Regions from separate parts of the Mus musculus genome. Here region 2 is reported to be linked to region 1. The links are microRNA targets in miRTarBase. Many come from high-throughput screens and were not tested one by one. Region 1 holds a microRNA gene; the other region holds the end of a gene's coding sequence.
The links. Region 1 holds the annotated microRNA mmu-miR-484 (UCAGGCUCAGUCCCCUCCCGAU, at 1,749-1,770, shown strand). A microRNA usually pairs through its seed, bases 2 to 8, with sites in the 3' UTR of a target mRNA and lowers its output. Matches are read on the target gene's strand: a 7mer-m8 pairs with bases 2 to 8, a 7mer-A1 pairs with bases 2 to 7 and ends in A, and an 8mer does both.

Region 1 (5,372 bases):
GGCTCACCTACCTCTTTCTACACCAAGGTGCCTTCAATATTGCTCAAAGAGCCAGGAGTGGTAGCTCAGGAGGCAGAGGCAGGAGGATATCTGCAAGTTTAAGGGCAGCCAAGTTCCAAGCAGCTGTGGTTACACAGTGAAACTCTGTCGATAGATAGACAGATAGACAAGGCAGGCAGGCAGGCATATATAGACAGATTACTCAGTTCAAACAAATATAAGGAAAAACATTAGTGGCCTGCAGCCTAAAAATTTCCCAAATATTCCTAGGAATTCCATTTAAGCAGCCGAATCAGTCAGGGGAAGTTCTAATGTGAGAGAGTCTTCCTTTCTGAAACTCAGTTTCTGAGCAACTTAGACAGTGGCTGAGAATGCAGTGTGCAACATTGTACTGCCTGCATGTTGGTTCTGAAGGCCACCTATCTGTGCTGCTGTGGGCATGTCATCTTTATAAACATAAGGCCCATCTCTTGTGAGTCTAATCATCATAGCAACCCCCTCACTTATTTATTTGTAGTTTGGTGACAAGAGATACCTGAGGATGAATTATTTCCCAAATGACCTCCCCCCTGCCACAAACTCCCAGTCCTATGTATTTGCTCGTCTTCTACCTTTTAACTAAAATGACTCTTTTTTCTCCAATAGAATATAAATTCCATAACAATATTGACTGTATGTGAATATACGGTATCCCAACCTTCCAACTCAACTGTGCCTCACAAATATCAATAAATGACCCTGGACAAATGTAGAGCTCACTGAAGGTGAAGAAAGACCATTTAGCTGACAATTTCCTTGTATGCAAAACAGAAAGATCCTGGAAAGTCCAAAAGATACTAGTGCAACTAGAAAGCACCACGTTCGTGCTAGAATTAATTGGGGAGGTGGCTGAAACTGAAACTGCATCCAAAGTGGCTATTAAAACAAAAACAAAAAAACAATAAGGGACTCAGCCACACAACTGTCCTTTTTCTCAACTTTCCAACTTTGCACATCCTGCGAAGGTTGCTACTGACACCTGGAGGGCCGGGGAGCGAGCAGGAAGACAAGCGCCAGCTGGGACTAAACGCCTCGGAAGAGACCGGGGGAGCACTGGAGAGCGACTTTTTCGCACGGCCCCTTCGGCAAGTCCCAGTCCCGGTCCTTCAATCCCAGAAGCATCAGTCTGAGGGGGGAAAAGGCGTCGTTTCCAGACCAGCTACGTTGCTGATCAGAGCATCCGGTACGCCCTAGTGGAGTCCCGGCACTGACAGAGGACTCACCTCAGCCACTAGCTCCTTCTTGGCTCACATTCCGACACCGCCGCCTACCCCCCACCCCCCCCAGGCCCTTTATTTTGATTCCCGACTCCGCAGCTCCCGCCGCCGCCGCCAAGCGCTCCCTCCACTTCCGCTTCCGCCCCGCCCCGCCCCTGTCGCAAAACCGATACGCTTCTCTACTACTAGCCCCGCCCCTCTCTCCGAGCCTCCCTGCCTCACCTCTTCCTCCATAATACCACACCCTTCCTCTGCTCCGCCCCCTATGGCCGCTCCCTTTCTCCGCCCATTCCCAGCCCGTCCCCACTCCGCCCAGTCGCTTCCTCCAGTAGCCCCGCCCATTCCCCCGTCCCTCCCTTCCCCTTTCTGGCTCCACCCCTCCCTGAGTCTCGCCCAGTCTTTTCTTTCGCCCCGCCCTCGCCTCCGCGTATTTCTCCGCGCAGGGCACGCTGGGAAGTGGGGGGGGCGGGGCCTCGCGGCCCTGCAGCCTCGTCAGGCTCAGTCCCCTCCCGATAAACCTCAAAATAGGGTCTTACCTAGGGGGCTGGCGGCGTATTTTTTTTAGCAGGAACCCCAGTTTAGGAGTTCTCACTACTGGTTTGATGACGCCATGTCGAACGGATCTTCCAGGCGAAGAACTAGGGAGCTTTTGTGATGGAGTCAAGGAAAGGCTTGCCAGATGGGATTTGTTAGGGTTCCGCTCTAAAAGGTCTTGGGAGCGAGGACTAAGGAGAGAAGATTAATGTGAAATAAAGTATTAATGCTCTGCCTCGTCACGTGATAACCCTTATTTTTACAAATTAAATCGTGCACGTTGCACTGCATCTTTTAGCGCAACCTAGTGGCCAGTGGAGAAAGAACAGTTAAACCTGCCAAATGGGCTTTTGGCAAAGTCCTCCCTACCTATAGCAGTTTCAGTGCTGATCAAGTACATGCAAAGACTGCTGCTGAATATTGACACCAACAGTTAAGAGTACATGATATCCTTACCCAGTTTTATTTTTTCTTTTCAGAGACAGTGTCTCACTTGTGTAGCCTTGGGTTGGCCTGGAACTTGCCCCGCAGACTATGCTGTACTCGAACTTGCAGTCCCTTGCTTTCTGAGTGCTAGGATTAAAGGAGTTTGTGTCACCTGGCAAACGTTTTGTTTTAATAAACCTAGTGCTTTGTAACCAATACTTTTCAGATGACAGGTTGGCCACGAAAAAGAAGATGCTAAAGTTATAAGAACTTTGTGAAATCAAAAATACTTCATGTTTTAAACAGATAAACTGTTCTGTATCCTCGCTACCCCTATCCCCAACCCCACTGAGCCTTGAAGGCTTCACTTTTACTTGACCTAAATATGAGTTGGGTTTTTTTGTTTGTTTTTCCAGACAGGGTTTCTCTGTGTGATAGCCCTGGTTGCCCTGGAACTCTCTGTACACTAGCCTCAAACTCAGAGATCTGCCTGCGGTTGCCTACAAGTTCAAGAAGTAAAAGCATAACCTTTATTTAGAACCATGCCTGGCTTAAATATGAGTTTTCAGGATTCCATAGGGGGAAAGATAATTTCTGAAATTTCTAGCTCTTTGCTGCTTTCTGTTACAAGTTAGGAAAAAAATATAATCTAAATGTAGGCACAGTATAGAATGTCCTAGCTGGTTATTACTTTAAAATAGTTATACTTAAAAGTCTGCCAGAAGCCGGGCAGTGGCGGCGCACGCCTTTAATCCCAGCACTTGGGAGGCAGAGACAGGCAGATTTCTGAGTTCGAGGCCAGCCTGGTCTACAAAGTGAGTTCCAGGACAGCCAGGGCTATACAGAGAAACCCTGTCTCGAAAAACAAAACAACAACAACAACAAAATTAAAAGCACTACCTACTATTTAATAAAAGTAGGTTTCAACTTTTTGCCAGAAGTAGTGGCACAGTTCCAGGGCAACTAGAACTGCACAAAGAGACCCTGTCTCATTAAAAAAAAAAAAAAAACCAACTTCCTTTTTTTTTCCTTTGCTCAGTAATAATCTTCACATTTATGAAACAAAGATAACAGAGATTTATTATTGGTGTTTCACTGGATACTTTGCATTTGATTCAACTCCCCAAAGACCTAAGTTACTAAACAGAGTTCTCCTCTACCACCCATGAGGACAGGATCAAAGGAAGAGAAGTCAAACTCTCAGCTTGGTCACAGCACAAAAGCTACAAACAAAATGAACAGAATTTTTTTTTAAAAAAAAAGAGCAAAGCCAACTACAGTAGCCCAGGACTTTGATCCCAGCTCCTTCAAAGGTAGAGACAAAATTACAAATTCAGCTTATCCAGGCTACAGGGTGAGCTTAGGTCCAGCCTGGGCATCTTAGAAGGAATTTGACTAAAAAAAAAAAAAAAAAGAAAGAAAGAAAGAAAGAAAAAGAAAAGAAAAGAAAAAAGGGGGCTGAAGGTATAGGTCAGTGGTAGAGCATTTACCTAGAGTGGGTAAGGTATTGAGTTCAACCAACAAAACTGAGGAGAGGGGCAGGGGGCAGGGGGCAGGAGGCATTACTTGTGTAGCCCAGGGGAACAGAACATGATTGTAAGAGTCAAAAAGAGCCTTCTGAAGCTCCTTTTGTTAGGTACAAAATCGAAACACTTGGATTTCCTGTACCCTTTTTCTCATCTTTTAAACAATTCTAGGAGGCTGGAGATACAGCTGAATGATACAGTATTTGCTTAACATGGCCAAGGGCCTAGGTTCAAGGCCAACACTGCCAGAAATGTAAGCTAACTATGCCTTTCTCTGGCTTCCCAGTCTCTAAATAGTCTTCAGCAACATTTGGCATCTGAAATTCTGTTTCCGTTTACTGTATTAACCCTTTAAGATCAGATTCTTTGTCTTAGTCACCAGGTTGTAAAATTACCTGTGCCTAATAGTATTTAATAATTAATGAACAATTAATGGCTTAACGTTAAGAAATTATTATTAGCTGGGCCTGTGATCCCACTGAAAAATAAGGCTAAGGGAATACTCAGAAATTTGAGGCCAGCCCAAGTTACATAGGAAAAGTGTTTCAAAAAAGGAAAAAACAAGGGGCTGGAGAGATTGCTCAACAGTTAAGAACACTGATCTCCTAGAGGTCAATTCCTAGCAACCATATGATGACTTTTTTTTTTTTTTAAAGATTTATTTATTTATTATATGTAAGTACACTGTAGCTGTCCTCAGATATCCCAGAAGAAGGCATCAGATTTCGTTATGGATGGTTGTGAGCCACCATGTGGCTACTGGGACTTGAACTCGGGACCAGTCGGGTGCTCTTAACCCCTGAGCCATCTCGCCAGCCCTGTTTGTTTGTTTTTCAAGACAGGGTTTCTCTGTGTAGCTCTGACTGTCCTGGAACTCACGCTGTAGACCAGGCTGGTCTCAAACTCAGAAATCCGTCTGCCTCTGCCTCCCGAGTGCTAGGATTAAAGGTGTGCTCCACCACTGCCCGGCTTATTTACAAAGCACTGCACAAAGTCTTGTAAACTTATTTATTTAGCTCGGGGGGGGGGGGGGGGGACGACGACGACGACCATTTTATCCACGAGTAATTAAATACCTTGTTTCAAATACACATAGCTAGTAAGCGGCGGAGTTAGGATTCAAAGTCAAGTTCTTTCACATTAAACTATTCTGTCTCAGAAGAAGCCACAACAGTTAAAGATTCTATTTGGGGTGTAAAGTTGTGGAATAACAAGGGTCCTGTGGGCTGGGCGGAAGTTTGTCGTTCTCTATGCCTGTTTTTGTCTTTGTGCATTCTGGGCTAGTATAGCATTTTTGGAATCGGGTAGGGCACTTACAAGTGTAACCCAATATCAGCTATTCCTAATGCCCGGGTTTCTCCGACCAATTGCTCCTTTGTCTATTCTTGGGCAAGAGCAAGAGCAGATAAATGCAACCAGTGTGAAGGAGAGGCGTGCGGATGTTCCAGAGTGCGTGGCACGGCGAGTACCGAGCCGCCAGCAGGCCCTCTCCACGCCCGCCTTCCGGGCCAGTGGCCTGCGCCTCCTGCGGCCCCTCCCGCCCCCACCGAGGCTTGGCCCAGCCGCGCCCGGGCCTAGAGAGAAAAAGTTTCCAAACCTCGCTTCTTTGCGCTGATTGGCCGAGTCAGAC
Region 2 (5,372 bases), not on the chromosome of region 1:
CATCGCCAATAATGATATTGATCTCATCATCAGGTTTGCTCAGATAGAATCGGGCTGGGTTGGATGAAGATCCTGGGCACCATTTCTAGCTTGCTGCAGGACCTTAAGCCAGAACCTACCCTGATCTGGGACGTGGACCTGGTCAGAAAAGATATTTGATCCTAAGATTGCCAGGAGCTGTATATTATGGATTTGGGGCCAGCGGAGGAACCTGCAGTTGGGAGATGGTGTTTGCTGAGAGTAAAAGTTAATGTCAAATTGTATGGGACAGTAGAAGCAGTCTGCGGCCCAGGCAGATGTGAGTGTAGAAGATGATAAAGTCACATTCCACCTTTAGAGACAATAGGAATAGACCCAGCACTGTATGCTTAGGGTGAGACCTATTAGACCTGACCAAGTCCATGTTCTTGACATCCTGCCAGGATCTCAGACCGGGGTGGAGGAATCGCTCATAAGGACCTGGATCGGGTCATGGACTACCACTTCACCACAGCTGAGGCCAGCACCCAGGACCCCCGAATCAACCCCCTCTTCGGCCACCTGGATATGCACAGTGGTGGCCAGTCAGGACCTATGCATGGGTAAGGCCCCACCTTCCCAATATGGGGGGAAGGGGTAAACCAGGACTCGCAGGCCTCTGACACCCCTATCCTATCCCCTGCTCCCAGCTTTGGCTTCGGGTTGCCCACGTCCAGGGCATATGCAGAGTATCTTGGTGGCTCCCTGCAGCTGCAGTCCCTGCAGGGCATTGGCACGGATGTCTACCTACGGCTCCGCCACATTGATGGTCGGGAGGAAAGCTTCAGAATCTAATGGTGGATTTTGGCCGGCTAGCCTGCCACACTCCTCGGAGGACCTCCTAGGCCTGGCAGGGGGCCGCTGGGCTCCACAGACTGCCACTTCGCTTTATGGAGCTTAGGGCCTCAGACAGGTGGACTTAGATGGAGCTGGGCACCACTCCTCCTCAGCAGGGCTCACTGCTTTCTACCTCCCGGCCTTGGGGGGAGGAAGCAGGTGCCTCTGAGGCCTCTGATACCAGCTCTGCTCTGCTCATTCTTGAGGACTCCTCATTTGACCTGCTGCTTATTAAAGTTTGCATTTTTGAATGCCCTCTTGGGCCCCAAATGTTGGGAGGGCAGGCGAGCTTTGTTTCTGCCCCCTTTGGATTCCCTAGGCCTTGGGAGTTAACCTGGTCATGTCCAGTCTCTGGCTGTCCTGGCACTGTGGCAGAAGTGATTTCAAGGTTCTTGCCTATTTGATTTGGCAAGAGTGAGAGTGACTTTGGCAACTTGGGCTCATTGAACAAGTCTTTCTGGGCCCCAGACGCTATCAGAGGCCCCAAAAGACTTAGCTTCAGGCCCGACTCTTCCCTTCCTGGCAGCCGTGGGTTTGAGAGGTAAAGGTCACTAGACTGGGCAGTCTGTAAGCCACCTGATTCCTGAGCTTGCATGAGGTTAAAAATACTGCCTGCCCACTGTGGCTGCAAAAAGAATTGCATGAGGTTATGCAGAGACCTGATTACCTCAGACAGATACGGAGAAGTTGTCTTAGGGAGGACCAGGGACTTGGGCAGAAAGCACGGTGACCAGAAGTGTGTGGAACAGAACTTTAGGTGAACTTTGAACCAAGAGTAACTCTCCCCGCTGTGTAAGACCTACGGACCTGCTTGGTAGGACTCCCAAAAGGGAGTAGGAGAAGCAGGAAAGGAAAGGGGAGAGGTCAAGGAAATGACTTGTAATGAGAAGTCCAGAGCTAGTCCACTGTCCCTCAGGTACACATAAGAGAGTGAGGCTCCATGGTAACCAGTTCCCTCACTTGACGCTGGGATGGAAGAAATTCCTACACTGAAAACTTTAGCCTTTCCAGGTAGAATCAAATGTACACACTTGTGGTCCTAGTACTAGTGATGCTTACATAGGAGTATCACGAGTTCAAGGCCAACCTGGGCTGCTTGGCAAAACCCTGTCTTAACGGGTAGTTGTCAGAGAAGAGCCTCATGTTCTAGTCTTTGAATGTACATACAGACCGGGGGTGGTGGCACACGCCTTTAATCCCAGCACTTGGGAGGCAGAGGCAGGCGGATTTCTGAGTTCAAGGCCAGCCTGATCTACAGAGTGAGTTCCAGGACAGCCAGGACTATACAGAGAAACCCTGTCTCGAAAAACCAAAAAAAAAAAAAAAAAAAAAAAAGGAATGAAAGTACAGGTTAACCACAGAGAGCAACAACACAGATACAGCATCAGAAGCAACAAAAAGCATCCGGGCCCAGCGACATGGTTCGGCAGTAAAGGCACCTGCCACTAAGGTATCTCCTAGAGTTTATCGCAGGAGAGGACTACGTGAGTCCTGCCAAGTCTTCTCACCTGCACACATGTAGGTTCATACTCATAAACACAATAACAGTAAGTAGAGGGTGTCTCAGCACAGCCCCCAAGTTCTGGAAAAAACAGTTGGATTTACATGTTAATCATGGTTGGCCCTGGCATGGGGACAGCATGGTGTATTTACTATGCCTAGGCTAGTCCTTACTTAGGAAGGACATCATCTGAAGATGTCAGGTGAAGTGTCAAGTGAGGTAGAAGCCTGGGCAAAAGCTGTAATGATCCTGAAGAGGGCTAGAGTGGGAGGTGTCCTTTGGTTGTATCTTCTCATTCTTAGGGTGCCGGGCACCTGGTATTATCCTGCTCTGAACTTCTTTACTGCCCAACAGCAAAGTAACCAGTTTTTCCTAGTGCCTTCTCTCTTATTTTTTGTATGTGTGTCTACCTGTGGGTTTGTGCTCATTGCTGTAGATGGCCTGTGGAGTCCAGAGGGGTTTCGAATCCCCTAGAGCTGGAGTTACAGGCAGTAGTGAGCTGCTTGCTGTGGAAGCAGAGCTGAGATTGTCGACAAGAGCAGTGCATGCCGAATCATCCAGCCAGCTTTCCCTCAGTGCCACACACAAAAGGATCTATTCTATTCCCAATGCCATCTCACATAGATACACAACGGTCAGATATTTCTTGGACCATAGTGTCTGAGTTCTGACCTCAAGCTGCCCCTCTCAAGAACTGTTACGAAAGCCGGGCATGGTGGCACACACCTTTAATCCCAGCACTCGGAAGGCAGAGGCAGGCAGATTTCTGAGTTCGAGGCCAGCCTGGTCTACAGAGTGAGTTCCAGGACAGCCAGGGTTATACAGAGGAGCCCTGTCTCGAAAAACCAAAAAAAAAAAAAAAAAAAAAAAAGAAACCTTATGAAAACTGATCACCAAATTATGAATCAAAGAACTTTCAGAGAATGTCTAAATGAGATGTTTATCCAGCCCTACTCTGACTCAACACACTGTTGTGTGCTACTGTAAAAGTTACCAGTGCATGCTGGGTACGTAAAACCATGTGGCAGGAGCCAGTCAGTCTCAACAATAGAGCGTGAGAAAAGGAGCTTTATTCCAGTAAGCCAGCTAAGGAGGAACTGGCTGGCATTATCATCCCTAAAAAACAAAGGTCTTACAGTGCTGCTTCTTTTCATCGACTAGTTCGCCCACAACGCAGTTCCTAAAGTAGTATGCACTGGGCAAGCTATTAAAGGTGTCCGGTGCCCCAATACAGTAATTAAGGAAAACACGTGTGTGTGTGTGTGTGTGTGTGTGTGTGTGTGTGTAGAAAGGTGAAGTTAAACAGCAAATTAGACATGTGTTACTCCAATTCATCTACCAATAAGTTTACCTTGAATGCTGCTATATAGCTTATATAAAGCTATGACTTAACCATATGTATATATGGTTTAACCTTTACTGAGTCTCAGAGAATTGGTATTCTGTACTTGGAGGAGTGTCACTACAGATTCTCCAGGCACTGTCTCCCTGCTCAAACCCTTCTTGGCTGGAGATGTTCAGTGGTAGTGTTTGCCTAACATTAATGAAGCTTCGGGTACAATCTCTAGCAGTGCATGAACCTGGTGTGGTGCCATCCTAACCTCAACATTTGAAAGGTGGAGGTTAGACAACCACTCAAGGTTCTCCCTGGCCACGCTCGAGGTTTTTTGTTTTTGTTTTTCAAAGATTTATTTATTTATTATATGTAAATACATGTACACTGTAGCTGTTTTTAGACACTCCAGAAGAGGGTGTCACATCTTGTTATGGATGGTTGTGAGCCACCATGGGGTCTTAACTCGGGACCTTCATAAGAGCAGTCAGTGCTCTTAACTGCTGAGCCATCTCTCCAGCCCCGCTACATGAAATTCTTAAGAGAAAAGAAGTTGCCGGGCAGTGGTGGTGCAGGCCTTTAATTCCAGCACATGGGAGGCAGGGGCAGGCAGATTTCTGGTCTACAGAGTGAGTTCCAGGACAACCAAGGCTACACAGCGAAACCCGGTCTTGAAAAAAAAAGAGAGAGAAAGAGTGAGTAAGTTTATTTTGAAGGTAGTTTATTTGGCACACCTGTTCTTTTCCTGTCTCAACTGGTTTTTGCTCCCACCCTGAGCGAGAGACGCAAATATAGAGTGGGTAGCATATAAAAAGCCCTGGGTTTTGGCCCCAAGCATCCCATAAAACTTAATTCAGTGATAGAGTACAACTGTAATCCCCAGGATACTGCTGCACGTTCAATGAATTTCAGGCTAGCCTCTGAGAACCTTTCTCAAGAAATAGGAATGCTCGCCTTTAATCCCAGCATTCGGGAACCCAAGGCAGGAGGAGCTAGGTCAGCAAGTGTGTAGGCAGCCCGGGCTATGTCACAACAAACAACTCCACAAAAATAGCTAAGTCCGGGTGTGGCGGTGCACGTCTTTAAATACCAGGACTCAAAAGGCAGAAGCAGGTGGATCTCGAGGCCAGTATGGTCTACATAGCGAGTTCCAGGTCAGTTAGGACTGTAATTAGACCCTGTCTCAAGTTGGGCCAATTTTTAGCAACAACAGCCACACGCAGTACGCACAAAACAAAACCTTGCCACGTCACAACCTCCCCACCTCCAACACGCAAGACTATGCCCGCCCCCACTGATCCGGAAATAAAAGCGGCTCTCTGGCCGGTCACTTCCGGCACAGCAATGGCGGCACAGGGAGCTACAGCTGCAGTTGCTGCAACAACTTCAGGAACTGTAGGGGAGGGAGAGCCCGGCCCGGGGGAAAATGCAGCAGTCGAGGGGCCTGCCCGGTCCCCGGGCCGGGTCTCTCCGCCGACTCCGGCGCGTGGCGAACCAGAAGTCACCGTGGAGATCGGAGAAACGTACCTGTGCCGGCGGCCGGATAGCACCTGGCGTGAGGGCGGGGCCCAGGGCCTAGGGGCGGGATTTAGGGAATGGGCATGGCCTAGGAATGGGCGCTCTGTGGGGCTGGGAGTCTTGGGGCCAGGGTGGTGACTCAGGTAAGAAGGCGGGATTTCGGGA

Region 2: the mRNA of Bckdk is a reported target of mmu-miR-484. Seed matches in the 3' UTR shown: 7mer-A1 at 2,100-2,106.

Annotation. Positions count from the first base shown.
Region 1 is chr16:14,157,882-14,163,253 of GRCm38, forward strand. Mir484 (microRNA 484) reads left to right here and starts at 1,745; the gene lies at 1,745-1,811. It overlaps Marf1 (meiosis regulator and mRNA stability 1), which reads right to left and starts at 1,393. Exons shown (of 27, transcript NM_001081154.2): 1 at 1,263-1,393.
Region 2 is chr7:127,907,499-127,912,870 of GRCm38, forward strand. Bckdk (branched chain ketoacid dehydrogenase kinase) reads left to right here. Exons shown (of 12, transcript NM_009739.3): 10 at 1-33; 11 at 423-581; 12 at 669-2,166. The coding sequence ends at 813. It overlaps Kat8 (K(lysine) acetyltransferase 8), which reads left to right and starts at 5,019. Exons shown (of 11, transcript NM_026370.2): 1 at 5,019-5,244. The coding sequence starts at 5,034.